Linked DNA regions of Diceros bicornis minor. The protein of the gene in region 1 purifies or fractionates together with the protein of each later gene. This does not show direct contact. Links are inferred from orthologs where the notes say so. Each region holds a gene or a part of one and is shown on either strand. Other genes may lie near its edges.

Region 1 (3,906 bases):
TACTACAGTTACCCAAAGGCTGAAGTCCCTGCTGTCAGACATGTGCTCTTTAGAGAAAGAAATGTTGTCACAGTCACCTACTGAGTAAAGTTGACTACACCAGCCCTCTTATTTAAAGAGTTAGTATGTTTTCGTTTTTTCCTAGGCTTTGTTTTACATACAGTCACTTGAGGTAGGAGCATGGCAGCTCTACCACTCAGTTCACTGATCACAATTGGTTTTTTGTATTTTATTTATTTATATCCTACCTAACTTAGAAAAATTTTTGAGATAGTTTATATATTAGTTTTCTATTACTGTGTAACAAATTAGCACAAATTTAGAGGCTTAAAAGAGCACAAATGTATTGTCTCCTAGTTTCTTTTGGTCAGGAATCTGGGCATGGTTTAGCTGGATCCTTCCCCCGGCCAGATGGATGTCTGCTTTAGGATGGTAAGGGAGACTGTACCGTGATCAATGGATTCTTAGTTGTTACTGTACCTGGGAATTGTATCTAAAAGACAGATCTTTTTTTCCCTCTGAGTTATATTTGACATATTGATGGGTTATGTTGATTTATTTAAAGGCTATTTGACAAAGGAGGTGAAATCTTTTGAAGCAGAGTATGTTATTCAAGGGGGTTTGCAGTGGTTTGAATTTGGCATTGAATAGACTGGCTTATCATGCAACACTTATGTATGCAGCTGCCTAACAGCCATTTGATTTTAGAGTAGATGAGGAGCAGGGTATAACCAGAAAAGAGGGAAAGAGGACGCGTTGATTGCGAAATTGGGACCAGGGAACAGGCTGCCACACAAGAGTTCCTCTTTGCTTCCTGCATCTGCAAGTACAAGTAGTTGATAATACGCAGGAGATGGGAATGGAGGGACTAGCTGAGGGGAAAGGAGAAACCATCCAGAAACTTCAGAGGAATTTTCAAAGGATTTAAAGAACTCTTTACCCTGATCCTTGTGTTAATAAAAGGGGTTATGAACACAGGTTGAGAGCTTAGCATGAGGCCCTGTAACACAGTGGCTAAGAAGGCAGCCCTGAAGCCCAAGAGAGGTTCAAATGGTGGCTCCCACCACTTACTCACTGTGTGACATTGGACAAGCTTCTCACCTTCTCTAAGTTTCACTTTCCTCAGGCACGAATGGGGATACTTATATCTACTGTACAGGGTTGTTGTGAAGGTTAAATGAGATAAAAGAAGAAAAATAGTGAAAGAGGAGAGAAGGAGGAAAAATGTCAAGATAATCCTGTAGATCAGCCACTCGACAAGTATGGACGATGAGTCTATATATGCCAGACGCTGTTCTGAGGGCTAGGCAGACTCAAGTCAAAGGACAGGGCGGTCACAGCTTATCGGAGCAGAAACTCAGGAACAGAAACTTCTGCGGGAACCAGTATTAGATCCAAAAGTCATCAGGTATCACGTCTGAAAATTGGAAATTTTCCTAGGAGAATTTCCTGTGTCATGAAACCTTCAGTTTGGAAGAAAAAGTGCCAGGAAGAATAAGGAACTAATAAAGAACTTTCAGTACATGAGATTAACAAAAAAAAAAAAGACACAATGGGCTCCGTTCAGCCCCTCGGGAGACTGCCTCACTTCCAAACTCCCCTGTGCACCCTTAAACCCTTGACGTTCCTGTTAAACTCATCGGCTTAGGATCGGCCAGCCTGACAGCGATAATCTTTTGAGGAGGGCTTGGGGACGAGCTGCCTTCCCCTCCTTACTGATTTATGAGAGTATCATCTTTAATTCCCATAAACTCCAAGTGAGTAACTGTAACTCAGAGAAGGTAAGTTACGTTTTCAAGGTCACACAGCAAATAAGGAGCAGAGCTGGGATTAAAACCCAGGTCTGTTAGAATCCAAAACCCATGCCCTTAACTACAGCAGTCTACTCTTTTAGCAAACCCCATTTATCTAGGCTGGTATTCTGTACAGAAGATTTCCTCTTTAAAATAAAATGCTAGCTATAAAATAGAAAGGGTACCAGCCAGGAAAATGCTGGACAGAAAGTCGGAGGACCTTCCTTCTTGTCCTATGAATCCTGCCCTCTCTCTCCCTGATTAGCTGTGATTTCACATCCTTCCTCGATATGCTGTGAGAAATTTCCATACGGACCCGGCCAGACTCTATATTTTCCATATAATACTCTGTATAATCACCTCCAGCGTGGGTGAATTTTACTCAGGATAGTCTTTAGGGTTTGGTTGAAAACCTGCATCTCCTTTAGTGCTTAAAATCCTCAGGGTGGCAGGCAGGCAGGTTCTGAATGAGAAGACTGGAAGTCTTGAAGAGGGCGGCGAAGCCGTGGGGGCTGACGGGAGCTCCCTGGAGATCCAGGACGGACTCAGTAACTCCCGAGTTGCCTGGTGTTTCCCCGTCCACGTCGCCCTGCCCAGGCTCAGGCCACCTCCTCACCTGTCAATCAGCAGTCTGCGCACTGACTCAGTCTTGCTTCTGCTCCAGCCAGCTCTTCAGGCCGCAGCCAGGGTGATCATTCTAAATCTGATTTTGCCACTCCCCTCAGTAGAACCCTTCAATGGCTCCTTGTTCTTCTCAGGATAAAGTCCAAACTTTCTAATGTGGTTCAAAGGTCCTTCAGGATCTCGTGCCTCCCTGTCCCACTGGCCTCAGCTTTCGCACCTCACCCGCCAGCGCCTCACCCGCTCCCACCGCCGCACCCGCTCCCACCAACTCACTCGCTCCCGCCGCCGCCTCACCCGCTCCCGCCCCCCCCCACCCGCTCCCTGTGCCGCCTCACGCGCTCCCACCAGCGCACCCGCTCCCGCCGCCGCACCCGCTCGCATCAGCTCACCCGCTCCCGCTGCCGCCTCACCCGCTCCCACCAGCTCACCCGCTCCCGCTGCCGCCTCACCCGCTCCCACCAGCTCACCCGCTCCCGCTGGCGCCTCACCCGCTCCAGCTGCCGCCTCACCCGCTCCCACCAGCTCACCCGCTCCCGCCGCCGCCTCACCCGCTCCCACCAGCTCACCCGCTCCCGCTGGCGCCTCACCCGCTCCAGCTGCCGCCTCACCCGCTCCCACCAGCTCACCCGCTCCCGCCGCCGCACCCGCTCCCCCCACCTCACTCTCTCCCATCACACTGAATTTCTTGCAGTTCCTTGAACGCCTCACTCTTTTGGGGCTCTGACCTCTGCACTGGCAGCCTCCTTAGCCTATTGCTCCCCCATTTCTTTGCATCCGGCTAGTGCCTCTTTGTCTGACCTCACATATCTCAAATTGGACTTCACTAGCTCTGGAATGACTTCCCTGATCTTCCCAAGACTAGAGTAGGGCCCTTCCCCCAGGCTCCCCGCCCCCAGCTGTGAGTTTCCTGAATCATAGCAATTACCACAATGCAGTGTAATGACCTATTTGTCTTCCCAACTAGACAGTGGCTGCTCTGAGATCACAAGCTATATCTTATTTCTCTTTGTATTCTCTGCATTTATTAAGAGCAAGGACTCCATAAATGTCCCCTACAAGAATGAATGAACGATGAAATGTTCGTGGCTGTGCCAGGGAAAGCACTGTGACTGTATTTTACGAACATCAGCTCTGTTAAGTGACTATGTACCAGGGAACCTGAAAACAAAGTGATATTCAGACAATTTGGAAAAATCGAGTGCAAATGGCAACCTCAGGCTTAAAGTTTCACTGAACTGAAAAGAAGCCCTCTCAAGTGGCTGCTTTATTATAACAACAAGAAGGGAACCAAGGAACCTGGGATTAAAATTGGAAAGAAAAAAAAAATGTAGAGAAAGTGTTAATCACCTGAGGAGAGAATTCTCATTCTAAACAGCAAAAGATACATTTTCTTCTGTTTTTCTCTTGACCACAGACTGCGAGATTGCTCAAGTAACAGAAAAATAAGTAATTTGTTAATCCTAATGTTGTATGGCCTCCTGCAGAGGGT
Region 2 (3,906 bases), on another chromosome or scaffold:
GAACTAAGAAGAAGTTAGCTCTGTGCACCCCATCCCCGAAGAGAGGCCTTTTCACAACTCTGGTTTTTGGGCCCTGAATTAATGTTCTGAATGACCGATGTCGCTTTGCAGGCTTCTGGAAGGAGGCTGCCACAGGAGGCAGCTCAGCAGTGGCCGGCAGTCGCCAGATGCCAGAGTGGGACGAAGAGAAAGGCCAGGGGCAGAGGGACCGAGGAGAGGTGGGGAGGGAAGGGAAACCCCGGGCCCCCAACCCCAGAGCCGCCAATTCCTCACTGAACAGCCCCAAGCAGCGTGCTCAGCTCTCTGAGCCTCAGTTTCCTGCTCTGTAAAACAGAAATCACAGCAGCGCCAGCCTCATAAGGCTTAAACCAAGTCCAGTGTGTTACCTGAGAGCACTTAATTCTAATTAGCTTTTGTTGTCGACATGAGAGGAAGCAGCCTGGTGAACACCGGCCCCGTCCATGTAGACCTACTATGTGCTAAGGAAGAACTTTCACTGCATCCTTGCAACAGTCTTGTTGAGGGATCGTCACCCCATTTTTAGGAGGGAAAACTGAGGCTCAGAGAGACCAAATAACCTGTGCAAGGTCAAAGGCAAATGAAATGGACAGCTTTACGGACGCCCACTGGAAGCCTGGGCAGGCAGGAAGATGGCCACGCACGCAGGGGCCCACAGCCCGGCCCGAGGATCAGCCCAGCCCCAGCTGACCCCAAGTCCACACCTTTCTGCCACAGTGGACAGAGGGCAGCTCGCCAGAGGTAAAGCAGCAGAGGAGGAGATTCGTGCCGCTGGGAGCAAAACTCCAGGCCTCTGGGAGGCAGAGGCGGGGTGCGTGCCCAGCTGGGCTCCACTGAGCGCCAGCCCGGTGGCCTTGGGCAAACGGCGAGTCCTTTCTGAGCCTCCCCGCTCATCTCTAAGGCGGGGATGACAGAAGCTCCACCCCACCCGCTGATGGTGGGAATCAAGATACCAAACCAAGAAAGAACTCAGCACTAGGCCTGCTGGATGAACGTGACCTCATAACACTGACAACAACAGTAATAATAACGATGAGACTGATGACTATGATGGTATCATGTGGCAGCCACGGTCACAAATGGAGTCCTTCCCAGAATGGAGAAGTGGCCGCCCATCTGGGAGGCAGAAGGGCAAGAGATGGGCGAAGGGAGAGGGGCGAAGGGAGAGGGGCGAACTAACCACCCTCGGTGGCCTCAGTGCCTGTTCTCATTCATTAGCTTCCTGAATCCTGGAAAACAGCCCAGAGAGTGGAATTTGCCCACTGGACAGATGCGCAAACTGAGGCTTCTCAGGGCTGCCCAGGGAAGGCTGTATTCCAGCTCTTGCCACTGAGGCCTGAGCAGGCAAGAAGTTCCTTCCTAGGCTCCAAGGAGGGCCTCCCAATTTGCAAGCTTTAGCCTGGAGGCTGGCCCCTGTGTTCTGGGGACCTGGAGCACCCTGACAGGGGCCAGGCAAGAATCCTGGAGAAAGTTCCACTGGGGTCCTACTTCCAACTGAGAAGGAAGGCGTTCAACATTCATCCTTCAGCTCCCTTCTCCTCTGCATGCTCCCACCACCCCCTGCCAGAGCTTGGGCCAGACAGTCGGGGGCCGCCAGGGCACCGACGGGCAGACCAGGAAAAGGACAGACACCAGGACAGACAGACAAAAGGATCCACTTGGAAGAGAGGAGACAGCGTTTGCCAGGAGCCAAGCTGAAAAGTGAGGCCAAGCGAGCCAGACAACAGGGCCCCTTAGGGTCCAGCCAGGCAGTCAGACGCCAGAGGCCAGCTGGGGTGACCCTACAGATGGATGGTTAAGCGTTAAAGTCTGTGAGGGGCACGGATGGGCAGGCAGACTGCACAGGTCACCCTGGACAGCTAGCCAGACAGCAGGGGGCTGCCCTGCGGGACTGGCCAGATGGACAGCCAAATGGTGGTGGCAGGGAGGCCTATCCAGGACGCAGTGAGGGCCAACCAGACGGCGAGGGCTGCTCCAGATAAATGAAAAGCCAGCCAGACGGCAGGGGTCGGCCCGATAGGTATCTAGCTGGCAGGTTGCGGATAGAGAGACGCAAAGAAGGCGGACCTACCCCGGACCCAGCGGCAACCAGATAGTAGATTTCACCCACTCAAGCTGGGGACCGGGGAGCCGGCGGGGGTCCACCGCGCCTCGGGGCCCACGCCCCCAGCCCGCGACACGGCCCCCGGCCCCCGCAGGGAGTCCTCCGCCCGGGGCGCCCGCAGGCCCGCCTCCCTGTCCCCGTCCCGCCGCGGGCACGCAAGCGCCGCAGTTACGCCGGCGGCGCACGGCGCGCCATTCCCGGTCCGCCCTCCGCGCCAGGCCGCCGCCCGCCGCCCGCCGCCGCCGCGCTCGCTCACCGGCCCACGAAGTTCTCGAGCACCGAGCTCTTGCCGGCGCTCTGGCCGCCCACCACGGCGATCTGCGGCAGGTCCAGGTGGCAGCTCTGGCCGATGGAGCTGAAGGCGTCCTGCAGCTTGTTGACCAGCGGGATCAGCTCCTCCATCCCCCGGTTGCCCATGGCGCCGGCGGCCCCCGGCCCGAGCGCCCCGCGCTCCCCGCCCGCCCCCGGCCCTCAACGACGCGGCCCCGCGGAGTCCGCGGCCGTTGCTCCCCGCACGCCCGGGCCTCGGCGCAACGCCCGCTCCCGGCTCGGCCTCACGGTCGCCGCCTCATCCGGTTCTCAGGCGACACCCGACCCGAGCGACCTCCCGCCCGGGCCCCGGGGCTGCGCCCAAAGCTCTTGCGCCGGCTCCGATTGGCCGGCCGGGCTGCCACTCGTGCACACGAGCCAATGAAAGCGAGGCACGGGCTTACGGGCGGGGAGTCTCCCCCGGGGGACCTTCTCGCGGGCTGATTGGACGCAAGAGCTGTCGCTGTTGTGCAAGAGCCAATAGCGGCGGGAAGCGAGTTGTCAAGGCCAGGGGGCGGTGTTTCGGGAAAAGGCATATTGGTGCCGCCTATTAGGGAGGGATTCCCGATGGCAGGAAAATCCGCCAGTCTTATTGGCAGGAAGACCCGCCAGTCAACAAAGCTGGCCAATGATATTAGGGATCGATCCTTAGACACTGGTTTGTCACTTGACGCTACCTAGTTCCCTAAAAACTTCCTATTGGTTTATATAACTATCACTCCGTTCCATCAGCCAACAAAACGAAAGAGGGCGGGCTTTAACCTCTGAACCCTGACTCTGATTGATCACTGCATTTGTCAATCAAAAAATCTCCCGTTTTGACTTGGGATTGTTGTATGTCTATTGGAGAGGCTTCTGGAGTACAGGGTAAAGCCCACCTTACTCGCCTAAGGACGCCACCTCGTGGTGGGACCCGGTGGTGATCTTCATGTGTGAGTTTCCGGGCTCGAGAGAAAACTACAAGTCCCAGAATGCATCTCGGCCCCGGGCTCGCAAACCAGCTCTCCGCGCGGGGTCCCAACGCGCTTTGAAGGTGAGAATCAGGCGATGTGAGTCGTTCTTAGGGAGAGGCGGTCTAGCACTGCATCGCTGGCCCCCACTTTCATTCCTATAAAGTCACGCCTCTAAGCCTTTGCAAATGCTGTGCTCTCTCCTAGGAATACTTTCCGCTCACGCCCCGTCTTGCTGCGGCTAACGCTCCAACGTTGTTCTCCTGCCTCTTCAACTTGAGCGCATCTTGGATCTTTTGGAGTGCCCGGTGAAACTCAACGATCCTCTCCCCAGGTAAAGACACCTTATTTTGCAGGCAACAGTTGGGGGTTGTGGGAACCGAAACCATTAACCTCTTAGAAAAGAGGCCGGGGATATGTGGAAGGATTTTAAGAAAAGTGATTTGATCCCTTGGGGAACAGATGGGCCTGCTCCCTGACCCATAACCCCAGGTCTCAGAGAAATGGGCAACAAGACGACCAACA

Evidence for each region.
Region 2: the proteins of DNMBP (region 1) and DNM2 purify together in Homo sapiens (co-immunoprecipitation; 3 studies listed by BioGRID and IntAct, with this or other methods). This does not show direct contact. The link is inferred for Diceros bicornis minor from reciprocal best matches to the Homo sapiens genes DNMBP and DNM2.

What each region holds. Positions count from the first base shown.
Region 1 is NC_080745.1:65,372,191-65,376,096, forward strand, and holds the start of DNMBP (dynamin-binding protein), read right to left. Parts: upstream 2,554-3,906; 5' UTR 2,410-2,553; intron 1-2,409. UniProt on the Homo sapiens protein: Plays a critical role as a guanine nucleotide exchange factor (GEF) for CDC42 in several intracellular processes associated with the actin and microtubule cytoskeleton.
Region 2 is NC_080769.1:8,596,807-8,600,712, forward strand, and holds the start of DNM2 (dynamin-2), read right to left. Parts: upstream 2,572-3,906; 5' UTR 2,540-2,571; coding exon 2,379-2,539; intron 1-2,378. UniProt on the Homo sapiens protein: Catalyzes the hydrolysis of GTP and utilizes this energy to mediate vesicle scission at plasma membrane during endocytosis and filament remodeling at many actin structures during organization of the actin cytoskeleton.